2 linked regions of the Bombyx mori genome follow. The protein of the gene in region 1 interacts with the protein of each later gene in a pairwise test. Links are inferred from orthologs where the notes say so. Each region holds a gene or a part of one and is shown on either strand. Other genes may lie near its edges. The genes, in order: Go and rap1 GTPase-activating protein 1.

Region 1 (8,887 bases):
TCGTACACTCATTAAACAAAATCTTTATAATGTAATGAAGCGTTCTTAACTACAAATTTCTGGTTGAATGTAGAATTGCTCTAATATTATTATTTTTTTTCATTAATTTACGTACACATATTGTTTACATAACAGTAAAAAACCTACCTAGCAACAAGCGAGCGTGGGCCCGCGCCGCATGCCGCCGACTCGACCGCGGCCCCCGATCTAACGAATGTCTCGCGACTCGGTTGTCTACATGTTTCTTTTCATTTTAATCTCCTAAATAGGACTCATTTTACAAAATCTTTGGTTTTAAGCAACCTCACGATGCATTACATTGAGCGCTTCGTTTTAGATCGGCGTGTGGCCCGCGCGGTCACGGTGTAGGCGTTACGTTTTCCATTTTTTTTAAATCAATTTTTACATATTCATAAACGTAAAATGAAAATAAATCACCTAACTATGACAATCGATAGTAAAGGTTACTGTCTAATTGCATTAATAATTATGTTTATTGATACAATTATGGTACTAATGCTTAAATTAGGAGTTTTTATTTATTTATTTATTATTAATAATAAATTATGTTATATAGTATATAATATGTATTGGGTGAATCGGTTACGCTAATTCGCGAATGTATACATACATAGTTTATATACTCACAAATCTTACATTCGATACGAATAGTAGCCATAAGTGGATAACTATACGCTAAGGAGTTTTGTGCAGCTTGTGCGATACGTTACTGCAGCACCGACACCAGAGAGCCGGCGAAGACACGACACCACGACCAGATATCGGCTGCACGAAAATACGTATGTAGCTTACAAATATTACAAAGCCTTCAAAAACTAAACTATATTAAAATCAAACCAACAACAGGAACGGGTCTGACGCGCAATTCTGTTTCCCCGAGAACGTAATTAAAAAAAAAAAAAACTAATGAAATAATGTAAATCACAACATACTTTTAAGCCATTTCAACGGATCAGCTGCTTCGCAAATCATACTTACATTTGACGTATAAAAGGTCATTGACACTCCTGTTCTTGGCTTGATCCCGACATAATCACTCCAACCTGAATCTGCGACGACAAATTTAAAAAAAAAAAAGCAACATCCGCTCTGACGCATTAAGATAAACAATGCACGTCCTACGTCACAGACTCCATCAACGAACAATTACAATAATGTTAACATTATAGGTACGACGATTATAATGCTATTTTAATTTATTCAATATTAACTGTTTAAACGCTAAATATACAGGGCCTCATTTAGTGTGAACGGTAACTGAAAGGAGTTACTTCTAGACAATCAATGTTATATTAATATCGGCTGCAAAGTTTTATATGCAATGTTGTATATTTCCTTAAAAATTTGTCAAATGATATTGAATGGTGATGAAATGATAATGGTGATGAAGTAAGAGCGAGAGCCACCATTAGCCGAGAGGAAAACGAAACAACTTCATGTGCGTTTATTTTCTTTTTTTTTAATTTATTATACAGAATACATTTAGAGTGCAGACTAAACAAGGCCCTTTATAAATTAAATAGTTACATGATTTTTTTAATAGATGATTAGATATGACGCTATAACTTAAAAAGTACAAAATGTCCAAACGACATGACAAAAAATTAATAATGAATATAAATATGGCATTATAAAATGATTAAACTGGAATAAATAGTTTGTGCTTACATCACTTAAATTAAAATAGGTACTAAACCTCAAGTAAGTTAGGAAAGAGTTCAGCTCACAATACAATATTAGCTAAGATATATCGGAACATAAACAAAGGTTCTAAATCCCGTAGAGTTACTGTTCGTGTTTTCAAAATTGTATAAAAATATATTTCCATCGTGCTAATACTTAATAGTGGAATGATGCATTGTAATCAGTTATAATAGGCCTGTGAACATTTCCACGTAATTCACTACAGTTCGGTGTGAAACATCAAATAATTTAAAATTGACATCAAGAGTCAAAATGTTGGACATCCATTCTATTATGTAACTTAAAACCAACCATTGAACTCAAACCTATTGATTCGATTCTTATGTGTGAAGAATATGCGATTATTTTAGGTAGAATATATTTAAAAATTATTGTGACAAAAAATTAATGATCAGGGAGCAACCAAAGAACAGATTAATAATCACGAACCAGTAGATTTTTGCAAAAAGGCGGATATCCGACTTTTTGTCTGTGATGTCTAATATTGGTTGTTGCCCCTCGGTCCGTAAGAGAGTGAGTATATAAGCAGAGTTAGTGACCGGTGCTCCGGGGGGGCCGGAGCGAGGCCGACGGTGACACAACTAGATCGTAAACGAACGAACTTCTGAACGAACCAAACGCTGAACGAACGCCTAGCACCAAAATTTAGAATCGAACACTAGATCGCTAATTCCACTGAAAAACATGTCTAACGGCAGGTCCAGACGGGTCGAATAGTTCTCAACGCAACACTTCGAACAACCGAAAGATGTCAAACTTTTGAATCGATTTATGTTTCGATTCGCGAATAATCGATATAATCGACTCGCTCGGACCCGGTATTAACGAGAACGTTCCAGCGGGGAAGGCTCGTCCGGAACGAAGAACAGAACGACGGTTTATATATTACAAGGGAAATGAAACGCTACCCGCACGTCTCGCATCTAGTCGCGCACCGCACGTCGGAGCCGCGTGACTCGTGATAACTGCACGTCGGCGGTACATATCGAGTAAGCTTACTTCTCATAAAAATATATACACCACTAGATTTAATTACCAGAAATAAATTTGAACAGGCTTTACGGGATACACGCGTTCGAACGTAATTCGAGTATTCAGAATTTAATTCGAGATGACAAGTTGTGGTTTACAAGAATCATGCAACAAATTCATAGACACGCTTGTCTCTGGTCTGGGATTAGATTTTACGATATTCGTTTTTCGAATTATCGTAATTCGAGTATTCAGAATTTAATTCGAGATGACAAGTTGTAGTTTACTAGAATCCTGCAACAAATTAGACACGATTGTCTCTGGTCTGGGATTAGATTTTTCGATATTCGTTTTTCGAATTATCTTTATCGTTAGCAGCGTGTGTATCGGTTAGGTTAGATAGCGCTGTTTTTTTTTTTATTTTTGATATAAAAATAGCGGTGTATAAATATATGTAATAGTGGCGGCGGGTGCGAGGCGGCTAGTACAGGCCGCAGCCGCGCAGGTTGTTGGCGATGATCACGTCGGTCACCGCGTCGAACACAAACTGGATGTTGTTCGTGTCGGTGGCGCACGTCATGTGGCAGTAGATCTCCTTCGTGGTGGACTTGTTCTTCGCTTCGAACTGCGCCTGGATGTACGCGGCCGCCTCGCCGTACTCTTGCGCGCCTGCAAATAACGCATTATAATCATCATTATGTATTTTCTATTGCTTTTTTTCCTTTGTCGTATCACTCTTGTCGGGGCGGTCGTGATCGTCATTCAGTATCATTGCTGTGGGCAGATGTTATGCGCCTCACGAGCGGTTTGTGATGAGTCTGGTATCAGACGTATGGTATATACTTTTTCTGATAGTGTGTGGGAACTTAATAAGAAAGATCTATAGAAATACCATATATAATATATAAGGTCCGAAAACTTTCCTCCACGGTGATTACTCAGCATGCCAAATATTCAAATAAGGTTTGAAAATTGTTAGTAATTGCTGTTGAACCGTCCGTGGCTTAATAAGTAATAAGCCAATAAGCCCGGTGTATGATTATGCCAAGAGCTTACGGTCGATAACCATCTTCCTATGAAAATAATAAAAACAATAGTAATACTGACATCTTGTAAAACTATGCATAAATATTAAAGTTGTTCATTTATTTTTCTTCCTGCCCTAACGCCACTGGATTGGTCAAGAATACTTAGTTTCGAACTGGCTTAGCTTAAAGTCTTAGGGAATACAGACCTTGGATTGGCATATCCAAATGGCAATGCATAAGCTGTGAAATTACCATTTTTACGGTCATGAAGAACTAGGTATTAATAATACCGGTCAGACATATTTTCATGCAAGATCCTCAGACTAAATTGTGATTAGTAAAACGATAAAATACCTGTATATTCTGGAAAGCATATGGTGAGCGGCGATCTGCGAATTTTTTCCTCGAAGAGATCCTTCTTGTTCAGGAACAAGATGATGCTGGTGTCGGTGAACCATTTGTTGTTGCAGATAGAATCGAACAACTTTAGACTCTCCTGCATACGGTTCTGTAAATTTAAATGCAATGTGATTAATTTGGTACATAACAGTTATATATTTGCAATTCGAATAATATAACAACAAAAATGTATTGACGAAAATTCTAGTAAAATATTTATGTGTAAAAAATTCCAAATAAGATCTGAGATCAATTAATTATTCTTAATGATAAGAAACAACAGCTTTTCTGTCTGTAATAGTTTCCAATAAATTAGTGACCTGTGAGATATCACCAGGAGCCTCCACACAACACCCTATCGTTTCATCGACATTGGTTACAATAATGTTAAAACCTTTTTTTTATTAACTAATCTTATGGATGGATCTGAATGTTGGGCGACGAAAGTGAAACATGAAAGAGGAGTGCATGCGGCAGAGATACAAATGTTGAGATTGATGTGTGGAGTGACAAGAACGGACAAGATAAGGAATGAGTATATCAGAGGAAGTGTGAAAGTAGCCCCCGTAATAAAAAAATTAAAGAGCGGACGGTTAGCGTGGTATGGACATGTGGTGCGTAGAGAGAAGATGCATGTGACTAGGGAGATGTATGGAAATGGTAGTGCAAGGTAGAAAGGGAACTGGTCGACCGAGAAGACATGGATGGAGTGTGTGAATGACGATATGAGAAAGAGAGGAGTGAGTGTTGAAATGACAGCTGATAGAAGAGAATGGAAGAGAAAAATTAGCTGTGCCGACCCCACATAGTGGGTTTTTTTTATTGCCCTTGTAGGCAGACGAGCTCACGTCCCACCTGATGATGAGTGGTTACCGTCGCCTATGGACTTCAGCAATGGCAGGGGCAGAGCTAAGCCGCTGCTTACCGATAAGGTGGAGAAAAATAATAATCTTACTCTTAATAAATAAATAAAACTGAATCATCGGCTCATTCATTACTGTATATACTGACCGTTGTTTCATCCTCGTGCAACACCTGATCATATTCAGACATGGCAACACAGAATATGATCGCGGTCACGTCCTCGAAGCAATGAATCCATTTCTTCCTCTCCGATCGCTGCCCGCCCACGTCGAACAATCTGGAAACATAATTTGCGTTACTGATTGAATCATACTACTATTTATGTCGTCACTATATCACTCTAGTTCAACCATGTATACTGATAATGTTCGAAGCGCTCGAAATATTTATGTACATACGAATGTAATAGAAACAATTATAAACTTACTGCAATTATTCAACAATGAAACATTACTAATGACGACATAAAAGTCCTTGCGCGTGCAAACTTTATTTGTAATCCCTGATTGACTTAGGCGTAATTACATTGATTAACAATTCTAGACAAACTACATATTCATTTCGTATTAGTGTCGTCATGATAGACTATGAATCTCATAAGTTAATAGATTATGAAATCATTATCAAATATACTAAATATGTATTACTGAAACACGTGACATATTTTCATGGGCCACGTTTCTCGTCGTTGAAGAGAAAAACAACAATCAACAATTTCAATAAGCCTGTTTGTTCACTTTAATCCTGAACACAGGGGAACAAACAGACAATTGTTAACATTTGTTTTAGGGCTACATTTTGTACATTAAACTAATAAAAACCAATCACTCATGGTCGCCTTATAATCATCTTTCAAATTATAAATACAACTTACAATTTTATTGAAATACTTATTGCCCCTTATAAATTGATGTCTCTTCGTTTGGCAAATTCCGTAATCGCCTATAATCAGTTACTATTTAAAGCCGTTGCCTGAAAAGATCAACTTACTTGAAATTGAGGTTTTTGAAGGAGAAATGTACTTCGACGATTCCAGTCGTTTTGACTCTAGTCCTTAGGATATCTTGTTCGGTGGGCTGGTAATCCTTTGCTCCTAACCGGTCGAGGTCGTCCAGGAAACTAGAATCAAAGGAGACCGTGAGCATTACCGAAAATACAATTGTTGAATTTCACTAACTAGTGGTCGACCGGTAGTCGAAATTCTACTATAATTAATTGAAATTATAAGTTTGTACACTATTATGATTATATTTTATACTTCTATAATCACAAATTTCGCCAAGACTACACTATAGAAAAATATTCATAAAGACAAACAATATTTAATCTATTCTCAATTTGACCACAGACGTCAAGAACAAAAGTTCGACAATAAATAGTATGCATGCGTGTGTGCGTCAAATACATGGTATGTAGTGTGTGTGTAATGTTTTCTTTATTGATTTAATGTATCTTTTATGCATAATTTACAAAAAATATTAGCACTGTGCACTTCTTCTCTGTATTCTCTATAAGTGTGGAAAACTTCATACTCCTCCGTCCGTGCAATTTTCGTAAAAAGGGATACAAAGTTTTTGCTTCACGTATTAATATATAGATGACATTGATATTATCATGTGTAAGTTACATTTTAGTAATTACATAACAACCAAAAAAAACGTTGCCAGTGTGCGAGGGTTTAAAAAATCAAATTTTATTCTTTTAAACACTCTATGAACTTAAACTAGTGTATACCACAATAGAGAGTTAAACATTCAACATGATTTGAATAATTTCGAATTTTTAATCACTTTTAAATTTAATCAATTTACCTTTTCTTTTACAATAGAAACCATAAGGAGGTAGGGCGCGATAGTGGGCATTAAAATTATATAAAAATATTCTGTTTGTGTTTCCTTAATAGATTTCACTGTGAATTTAGAATGCTTAATACGTGTGCAATTACAGTTCGATTTGCCGTTAATGTATTCATTATTCAGAATTGATAAGGAACGAATACGAATATGTTTTTATTGGTTTGGAAAACTAGTTCTTTTTTTTTAATTTAATTATACTTTAATTTTAATTATTAATTTTATTAATTTCTTTGTGTATGGGCGCTTGTATGAAAATGTTCACATACCATTCTATTTTAAAACAAATTGTTTGTTTGTTTGTATTGAGTCGACTATTATCAAAGCCGGCAATGTGACTTTTGGACAATTATAGGTAAATCAGAAAAACGAATTATTGACGTTGTATTCCATTGGCAGTCACAAAACTCTTCTGAATCACCTCTAAGATAAATAACAGGTTAAGCATTAACCTTTATTTAATACAGGTTTTGAACCGTATTCTTTGAAGGAGACGATTATATTCAAATCAATCTGTATTGACATATCAATAACATTTTTTTTTCCAAATGCACAGATTGCCTGCCACCTTTGATAATAGACGACTCATTTGATGTTTAGTTTTTTGAAGAAGATATTTGACATTCTAGGTCAAATTTTAAAGAAGGTATATTGTTAGGATACACAGTCAGGCGTATCAACGTGTACGTGGTTTAAGTCACGCATTCAAATAGTATTGGGTCACATTCATTTGTTTTTGTGCCTTAACAATGGCAGTATATTTGGCATCCACACACATTGTTCCTAAAATGATGTCTACGGTTTTATACGTATGTAAATGAATATAAATCAATGATAACGATTGCATAGGGTAACCTAAGATACGAATAAAAGCGTTTTTCTTATATTAATCAATGGAAAACTTAAATTGGTTTTTTATTGGAAATTGGGGTGAGCATCTAATAACACAATTATGTAATGGTTAAAGTGACAGTTCGTGTAAACTATATTCATACGTTTAAATAGATACATATTTTAAATAGAAAATGATTACCCAACGATTCGTTACACGAACATTTGCCCGGTGTGGGAATCGAACCCACGACCCTCGGCTCCGCAATCAGGGATACTAACTACTGCACCACCGAGACGGTAAAACCGTCAAATTAATTTAAACCTATAGACATTTAAAGACTAATCGCACTCAAGCGAGAAATCAAAGATAGAAATCTATAGGAGTGGGTGATATAAATCGTATATAGATTCAATATCTATATATCGCCGCAATATCGTTGAATCCGATATCGCCCCGCACGAAATCTATATATCGATATCAGCCGATACACGATATTGCTCGATGTGATGCGCATCGCCATATCGGACCGATTCGTGAATCGAAATCTATATTTCGATATCAGCCGATACACGATATTGCTCGATGTGATGCGCATCGGCATATCGTACCGATTCGTTAATATCAGCAATATTCGTTTGGTTCGTATCGAATCGGCCAGAGTGAGTGAGCGCACGATAGGGATATCATGTGATGAATGAAACAGAAACAGGCATTATCCATACAATTGTAAACCTTATATTTAAGTCCATATGTCTGCAGATTATTCTTAGCGTATCAGCAGGATACAATTAAGGAAAGAAGTTTCAACTTTCGACCCTAACTTGAATGCAGTATAGCCTATTTGCATCGTTGAATTTAATTTCACGCGCTTTGACCTTGAACTAGAATTTTTGGACAAGTGTTTATAAATACTTAAAAGTTTTTTGTGTTTGATTTTTAAAGTACACATTTTTCTATTTTTAGTTGAATCCAAATAATTGAGTTTATTTCTTGTGTTTGTATCTGTCTCTTTTGGTTTATTTTGTAATTTTAAATTAAGACACAAAATACTAAAAACTGAAAATAATGTTTCAAATCTCAAATATCATGAATCACTACTAGCATCCATCAATATATAGATTCAGAAAATATATAGATTCAATATCCGATATTGATCCTCGATATATAGATACGATTCGATACGCGGCAAAACCGATATTACCCACTCCTAG
Region 2 (8,191 bases), on another chromosome or scaffold:
GTATGACTTTATAAGTCACTTATGCAATTTTTGTTAACACTGAACCAAGTATGAGAAAATACATTTTTTAATAGTTATTAGCGAGACGAGAGAGATATTTGTTTTTACTGATGGAGTTTAAAGTTGTAGTTTAAATATTATCATTTTATTTCTATAGCCTAGCATAAATAGTTAATTATAAGAATTAAATAATAAGATGTTGTATTTTCCAAAGTTTCTCCTGAAAAATTACATAATTTGCATAAGTGACGTTATTGCACCGTATGATGGCGATATAGTAACAGAAATAAATCACAGTGTAGCTTAAACATGAACTTACGCTATTCTAAGCGACTTGTCTATATGTGTTCTGTTTCTTGAAGCTGAAATGACTCCTGACAAGACTAGAAAACGGGACAAACATCAAAATTCCCGTCGAGTGTCTCCGCGAAGAAAAGCCACGATTTCTAAAGAAACTTTTGAAATAAACTCGTAATTTTATCTAACTTTTCACGAAACCAGCGACCGGAAATAGCTGGAATCACGTACTTATTCGGTACGAAAGCAGATTTGTTTTCAGTTACGTTTTAAGAACATTTACTCTTTGCACACGGCACTACATTTAAGTGCAATACTTTGACTAGATAGACTAAATTGAAATAGAATACTTTTGACTATACGAAATTGAAAAAGATTTGGCTAGAAACGAAATATTTATTTCATTAACTATGTATAGCAGATAAAAAAAAACGATTGGATTAATAGAAAAGATTATATCCGTGTTTTTTTTCTTTTCTTTTTTTTCTAGTTTTCTTGTTCAAAATGATAAATTTTTCTAAAACTTTTTTTCTTCAAACTTCTTCTAAATATTGTTGAAAGCAAATTTAAATGTTTACTTTAAGCAACATAATATTTTAAAATTCCATATTAATAACGAAAATATTGTGGGTGCGAATTTCAAAACCCGGAGTGAATACGTTCCAAAATTATTACTAAAATTCAAATAGCAAATTAATACAAGGTGTTATAATATGTATATGTATCAAATAGCCTATGAGAATATAGATTCGAACAAAGTAGCGTAAAGTTTAGATTTATAGTCAGCGATATCTCGTATCTTTGTAAGGTTTTACTATCAAGAATTATGAGCTGTCTCATTGCTGCTGGAGGAAAACTTTACGATACTAACCCTATGGACAGTTAGTATAAAAGTGCATATTTTATAGAGTTTGACATGAACATTAAAAAGTTATTGTTTGTTCGGTACCTTTTTGCACAGAAGTTTAACAATAGATATTTTAAGATTACCAGGAAGCATTCCCTTCAATATAAAGATTTGTTATAGTATTTTCTTCGGTTTTCGCGAGACGTAGATAGTGTTATAACGACCCGCCCTCGCTACGCTTCGGAAACATTAAATTTTATTATTGATAGCTGAGTCCCGCGATATTACCCGCGGCTATTGTCGTACCGCGGTTGAAGCCGCGGGACGAAGCTAGTCTAAAAAAATAGCCTAAGTTACTCAAAATCGGTCCAATCGTTCCAGAGATTAGCCGGAACAAACAGACAGACAGATAAAAAATTTAAAAAATGTTATATTGGTGTATGTACCGTATATATTTAGTCTGGCCATAAATGCTGTTACAATTAAAAATAAACAAAATATTACATTTGAATTTGGAATCTGTCATTTTTACATGATTGCTCATTGAGTTTTCTCATTTTGGCGCCAATACATTCATTGTACAATATTTTGCGATATTAAAATGGAGTGGGGTGATAAAGAGAACCCAATCGCTGTGATTGCATTACACAAAGTAGGTATGGAGCCAAATGCAATTTTTAAAACTCTCCATACGCTTGGTATTAGTAAAATGTTTGTGTACCGGGCTATTAATAGGTGCAATGAGACCTCTTCTGTTTGTGACAGAAAAAGATTTGGCCGTCCACGTAGTGTTCGTACGAAAAAGGTGGTCAAAGCAGTAAGGGAAAGAATTCGAAGAAATCCTGTCTGAAAGTAAAAGATTTTATCTCGGGAGATGAAGATAGCACCTAGAACCATGTCGCGTATTTTAAAAGATGACTTAGGACTTGCACCCTATAAGAGACGTACTGGTCATTTCTTAACTGATAATTTAAAAGAGAATAGGGTGGTAAAATCGAAACAACTACTGAAGCGGTACGCAACGTGGGCACTATCCGACTTCAGTGATAGTTTGGTGGGGTATTAGCTATGAAGGAGTGACTGAGCCAAACTTTTGTGAAAAAGGTATCAAAACATCGGCACAAGTGTATCAAGATACCATTATTGAGAAGGTAGTGAAGCCCCTTAACAACACCATGTTCAATAATCAAGAATGGTCCTTCCAGCAAGACTCGGCGCCAGGTCATAAAGCTCGGTCTACGTAGTCTTGGTTGGAAACGAACGTTTCGGACTTCAGACCTGAAGACTGGTCGTCGTCTTGTCCCGATCTTAATCCGCTGGATTATGATTTATGGTTAGTTTTAGAGAGTACGGCTTGCTCTAAACGCCATGATAATTTGGAGTCCCTAAAATAATCCGTACGATTGACAGTGAAAAATGTTCCCATGGAAAGAGTGCGTGTTTCTATTGTTAACGGATTTTTTTATGCTTTTTTTTATTGCTTAGATGATTTGCCACGTCGCTTTTATATTAATTTTTGAATCCTTTATAAACTGAATATTTTGTGCTTTTCGAAGCAATGTTATTTTTTTCAATCTTACAAAACAAAGTTTTCGACATTGTTTTATATTTAAAATTAGGATGTATTCTGTAACGCCATTGTATTTCCCATTTTCTGTTATAGCATCTTCGGGTTTTCTTATTTTTGTTTTTCAACTGGGAATTGTAATTGTGAAAAGCGACACCTATAAAAAATTAAAATAACTATTAGGGTTTGTCCTAGAAATTTACCCAGTTAATACTGAGCTGCACAGATGGAGCTATTTCTCAAAATTTCATGTTAACGTATTATGAAATGTTTTGTTCATTACAATATTAGGGCTCTATAGCGGAGTCGCGAATGATACTAATCCTCAAATACTAATCCTCCGAATCACAATGGACATTTTTTAGTCTAGATTGGTATCTCTAAATACAACAATCATGATGCATTTTTATCACGACGTGATCAAAGATTCAGTTTCTAACCATTATCTCGAAAGAGGAAATTGCACTTACGCGCTTACGCGCTACTACTAAAAGAAACCTTTCACAGTCACAGTCACTTCCATTAACCATTTAACGGCCGTCTGGTGTAGTGGTAAGTGACATGGTCACTACACAAGGGGGTCGCGGCTTCGAATCCCGCCAAGGGAAGATATTTGTATGATAAATTTAATATAAATGTCTTTTCCAGGGTTATGGATGTATATTAAATATATGTATGTGTATAATAAAAATCTTACATTTATATCCGTTATCTGGTACCTGTAACACAAGTTCTACAAGAACTTATCACAGGACCAGTTAACGTGGCATGATTGTTAGTAAAAAAAATTATTTATAAAAATAAAATAAATAAAAAAAGAATTATTTCTAATTATTATTATAAAATAATTACACTAAGCTGTAGAGAGAGCCATCTCTTGGCACATATCAACACTACTAAACAGCACAGTAGCACCATCTAGCAATATACAGACGAAAGGCACTTGTTAAAGGCACTGGACGTTAAATAAAACAACATTTATTTAGGATGTAACTATTCATATATTTCAATAGTATCTCTTAAAAACTACTTTTCTAACGCTCCGCGCTCAATATTTGGTTTAGGTCTAAATGAAGACGAATCAACAGTTAGTTACAATCAACTATTAAATCAACATTCGAACAAAATATCTAAAAGAATACATTTATTTACGAGGCTAAATGTAAACTTAGAAATTGTGTTAGCATACGTCCATCAATCAAACCTTGAATACTGGTTCTAGAAAAAAAAAACCTACACTATTTTAGTGGGGAATGTTAGCTTTGGTATAAAATATTAATTATAAACAACAAAACGTAATCAAACGAACACTCAAAACGAACTTAAATCGAAGCATAAATTATGAAAAAAAAAAATACTGCTTTTCTTATTGAAATCAATAGTCCAGTCGCCATATATGTACATTAACCGGTATACTTAAATTATGCTAAATTACCCAAAGAACAGAAGATTGCACAATACCAAAAGAATAATTGCAAATGCGTACTTCTACGTACAAATATGTACTGGGAAATCATGTAAATAAGTCAAACTATGTCAAAACTAAGAGTCATTGAAATTTCTAAAACACCACATATGACGTCATAAAGTTTTCACTTAATAATTCAGTACTAATAAATTTCTTCTAACATCTAACGCTCGCAATTTATAATAATGAACTATGAATGAACGAACTACGCTTCTTCTAAATTAGTATTTGTAGATATGAGCGTGATATACATTTTAGGAAAACTGAAGTGTGTAGTGGAACAGTAATAGCGTTTGAAATATTGGTAAAAATCAAGATTCTATATGGATCTTAACTAATAAATATAACCTGTCTTCATTCCCGCAGTCGAGAATAAAAGTTGAAGAACACAAGCGGTCTTTTCAAAATACATAAAATATTACAGTGAATAAAAACGTATTTGATAATAGTGTGAGTGCAAAATATAATATTTGTATAAGTTGTTGGGTTTTTAATTTTAAACGGCATGAATTTGAAGTAAGCTTAATTATCACAACGTTTACAAAAAGCATTTGTCTTAGATTATAGACATAGTAACAATCTTGTTTCGTATAACAACATATAAAAGATTCGAATCACATTCTCTCTACATATGCTACAGATTATTTTTATAATATACTTTTCTTGTACTCGGAAACGAGCTACAATATAATATAATTGTATTCGAAGCATAGTTTTACGCAAAGACAATCATAGAATACAATTTTAAAATTCGGAAATATTACGACATCTATTGATGAAACATTGAACTAAGTATATAAAGATTGCCAGAAATCAAGTCGATATATTTTTCTATAACATGAATCACACAACACAGAAGAGAGAACAACATGTATCTATAAATATTATTAAGTTTTGACACCGATATATTTATCTATTACGATGATCGACTTTCAAAAAATTCTACGACAATAATAATATAGGTATCAGTTTAAACTAATCATTTCTCACAATCAGATCTAATAAATAATCACGTCACCTTTTGAGTTGGGTTGATTTTGTTAATTTGAGCCTTGCGGCTTCGGCTCAAAGTTCGTATTAGGCCGTGGAATCGTGTGGCGAAGGGTTCGGGATGGTTGTGCTTAGTGACTGTTGTTGCTCTCTGAGCCTTCGGACTTCCCTCGCCGCGGCGGCCAACTCGGCTTGCAGAGATATTTCTCTTTCGCGTAAGTTCTTGATTTCATTCTGCCAGGTCTGTTAAAAAAATAATATGTTTGAAGAACCGTTAAGAATCGCACTACCTTGCACAATAATATGGCTCCTACGATATAAGTGTACAAGTTGCTACTTTTTTTTTTATATAAATGATACTAGAGATTTTGATGTACGATTAGTGATTATATTATCTATTTTAATTATACTTTTTTTGCTTTTTTATTGCTTAGATGGAGGGGTGGACGAGCTCACAGCCCACCTGATGTTAAGTGGTTACTGGAGCCCATAGACATCTACAACGTAAATGCGCCATCCACCTTGAGATATAAGTTCTAAAGTCTCAGTATTGTTACAACGGCTGACCCACCGTTCAAACGAAACGCATTACTGCTTCACGGCAGAAATAGGCAGGGTGGTGGTACCTACCCGCGTGGACTCACAAGAGGTCCCACCACCAGTAATTACGCAAATTATAATTTTTGCGGGTTTGATATGTCGGGTCGGGATTGTGGTTACCGGCATTCCACGATGAGAGGGTTCCCATGTCGTGTCGCTTTGTCGAAGTGGCCTTGAAGGCAGACGAGCATACGACCCACCCAATACGGCGCTAATTAACGCGTTAAGACGCAGAAGAGCAGCAGAATTATACTCACAATGTTCTGCTTGAGTAGATCCAGTTTGTCATTCTTGAGCCTGCAGACCTCTTGTCGTAGGTCGGCGTCCCCCCGCGGCGGTGCGGCTCCGTCGGCGCGTCCCCCCGCAGCGCCCGCCCCGCACCCCGCACCCGCCTCCGCAGACGACATCGACTCCAGACCGGTGTCGCTGTCTACGTATACGCCGCCTGCTGGACGGAACACGGAATTCGTTCAGGCATATTACGTCCATGGCTCAATTATGTATACATGTTTTTTTAATTGTAAACAAAAATATTAACATGTTTCCTTGCAGCAGACGAAAGTAACGTGTATTAAGTAGGTAAGAGTAAGCTAAAGAAGATAGAAAAGTGTGCAAAAAAGCAATATTGATAATGTAAAGTATCAAAATAATTTCTAGTTCCTATTTTTTTTTTATTGCTTAGATGGGTGGACGAACTCACAGCCCACCTAGTGTTGAGTAATTACTGGAGGCCATAGACATATACAAAGTAAATGCCACCATCCACCTTGAGATATGAGTTGTAAGGTCTCAGTATACTTACAACGGCTGCCCCACCCTTCAAATCGAAACGCATTACTGCTTCACGGCAGAAATAGGCAGGGTGGTGTTACCTACCCGTGCGGACTCACAAGTGGTCCTACCACCAGTAAAAATACAAGATTCGGAAATTCGTTCCAGTTAAATCAAAACGTAGATTTTTAGGTGAATAAATAAATAATATCAGGTAGCCACATGATGTTCATTCCGCTCCCGAAAGTATTTTTTTTAGATTTTAATTGTAAAAATATATAAAAAATGTACTTATAATATAAAATTTTGGTCATTGCTAAACTCCATGAGCGATGGCGATCATTCACCATCAAGTGGGTCGTACCATCACCAGTCTAGCTTATTATTAAAAAAAAAACTCTACAACTATTAATAGATAAAAATATACAAAACGTTTTACATCCGTGCTGAATACGCTAAAAACAGTATTTAACTATTAAAATACAATTTAAGATTATGACTAAATGGAAATGGACTAAGATTATGTTAATTAAATAATGTGACATTAATGTGCAAGAGATAGACAAAAATATATTTCCTACTCACTATAAGACGTGAATCGAAATAAATGTATGCGAATAATAAATATTTAAAAGATTTTCTAATTTACGATTACGTGCTCAAAATGATCTACAAAAAAAAGTATTTTTTTTAATAATTTATACTTGTTATGGAGACTAACCTGTTTTACCACAAGTCAGCCAGTCTTTGTCGTCTAATTGGAAAATAATTTTATTCAATATACATATGTGTACACATTTATTTAAATATATTCTTAAATTAAACGTTAATTTGAAACATGACAGGAAAGAGAGAGAAAGAGACAGGGCTATTGTGGATGATAGTTGTAATGATGCGCAATTTCTGCACGTGAACGTTAATAAAATTACAAGTTCATTCATTTGGACGTTACAATTCGCATGGGCGATGCCACTGTTTTTCACCCGGTTATTGTTGTAATTGTTTATGACAGTATCATTTGCCAAAAACCACTTTTACAACAAAAAAAACCGTATGTACCTACTAAGTTCCAAATCAATCGAACTGACTTTATAATTCGAATTACGAACACTACACTAGTCTCAAATCCGTGTTCACAGATTATACTCAAGGTTTGGGTTGCGAAATGAGGTTGGATGAACGAGGTTCGTCGTGATCAAATACTGTTCCATTTAGCTCGGGAAGTCTCCACTCTCTGTCATGCAATAGACGACAGTCGGTTTCGCAAAACATAATAATATCGTTTTCTACTTGTAGACAATTCGAACATTCGACAAAACCTGATAATAATATAGCCGCAACATTAGTCACTTCACGATTGCGAAATTTGAAATTCTAATTCAAAAAAAAAAAACAACTAGCCGCACTCGCCCGGCATTTAAAATTAACATTATTATTTATTGTCATTATTATTAGGGAGTCCAACACTCATATAAATATTAGTCTATCCATTAAGTATATGTATTTTTTACATGGATACCAAGTTTCAAGTCAATCGGATGCATGGTTCAGTAGTTATAACGGATCATCCGTAAAAATCACTGTAGATTTATACATTACATCTATATATTATATATTAGATTTATAGATGTTCAAAAGAAATCGAATTTTT

What was found.
Region 2: the proteins of Go (region 1) and rap1 GTPase-activating protein 1 interact in a two-hybrid assay, tested with the Caenorhabditis elegans proteins (2 studies listed by BioGRID). The link is inferred for Bombyx mori from reciprocal best matches to the Caenorhabditis elegans genes goa-1 and F53A10.2.

The regions. Positions count from the first base shown.
Region 1 is NC_085125.1:9,487,294-9,496,180, forward strand, and holds the end of Go (G protein alpha subunit Go), read right to left. Parts: intron 6,108-8,887; coding exon 5,979-6,107; intron 5,266-5,978; coding exon 5,136-5,265; intron 4,234-5,135; coding exon 4,080-4,233; intron 3,367-4,079; coding exon 3,179-3,366; 3' UTR 3,118-3,178; downstream 1-3,117. UniProt on the Caenorhabditis elegans protein: Guanine nucleotide-binding proteins (G proteins) are involved as modulators or transducers in various transmembrane signaling systems. In the 1-cell embryo, probably together with gpa-16, controls nuclear rotation and spindle elongation during mitosis.
Region 2 is NC_085109.1:6,781,609-6,789,799, reverse strand, and holds the end of rap1 GTPase-activating protein 1, read right to left. Parts: intron 7,295-8,191; coding exon 7,262-7,294; intron 6,218-7,261; coding exon 6,027-6,217; intron 5,413-6,026; coding exon 5,257-5,412; 3' UTR 3,689-5,256; downstream 1-3,688.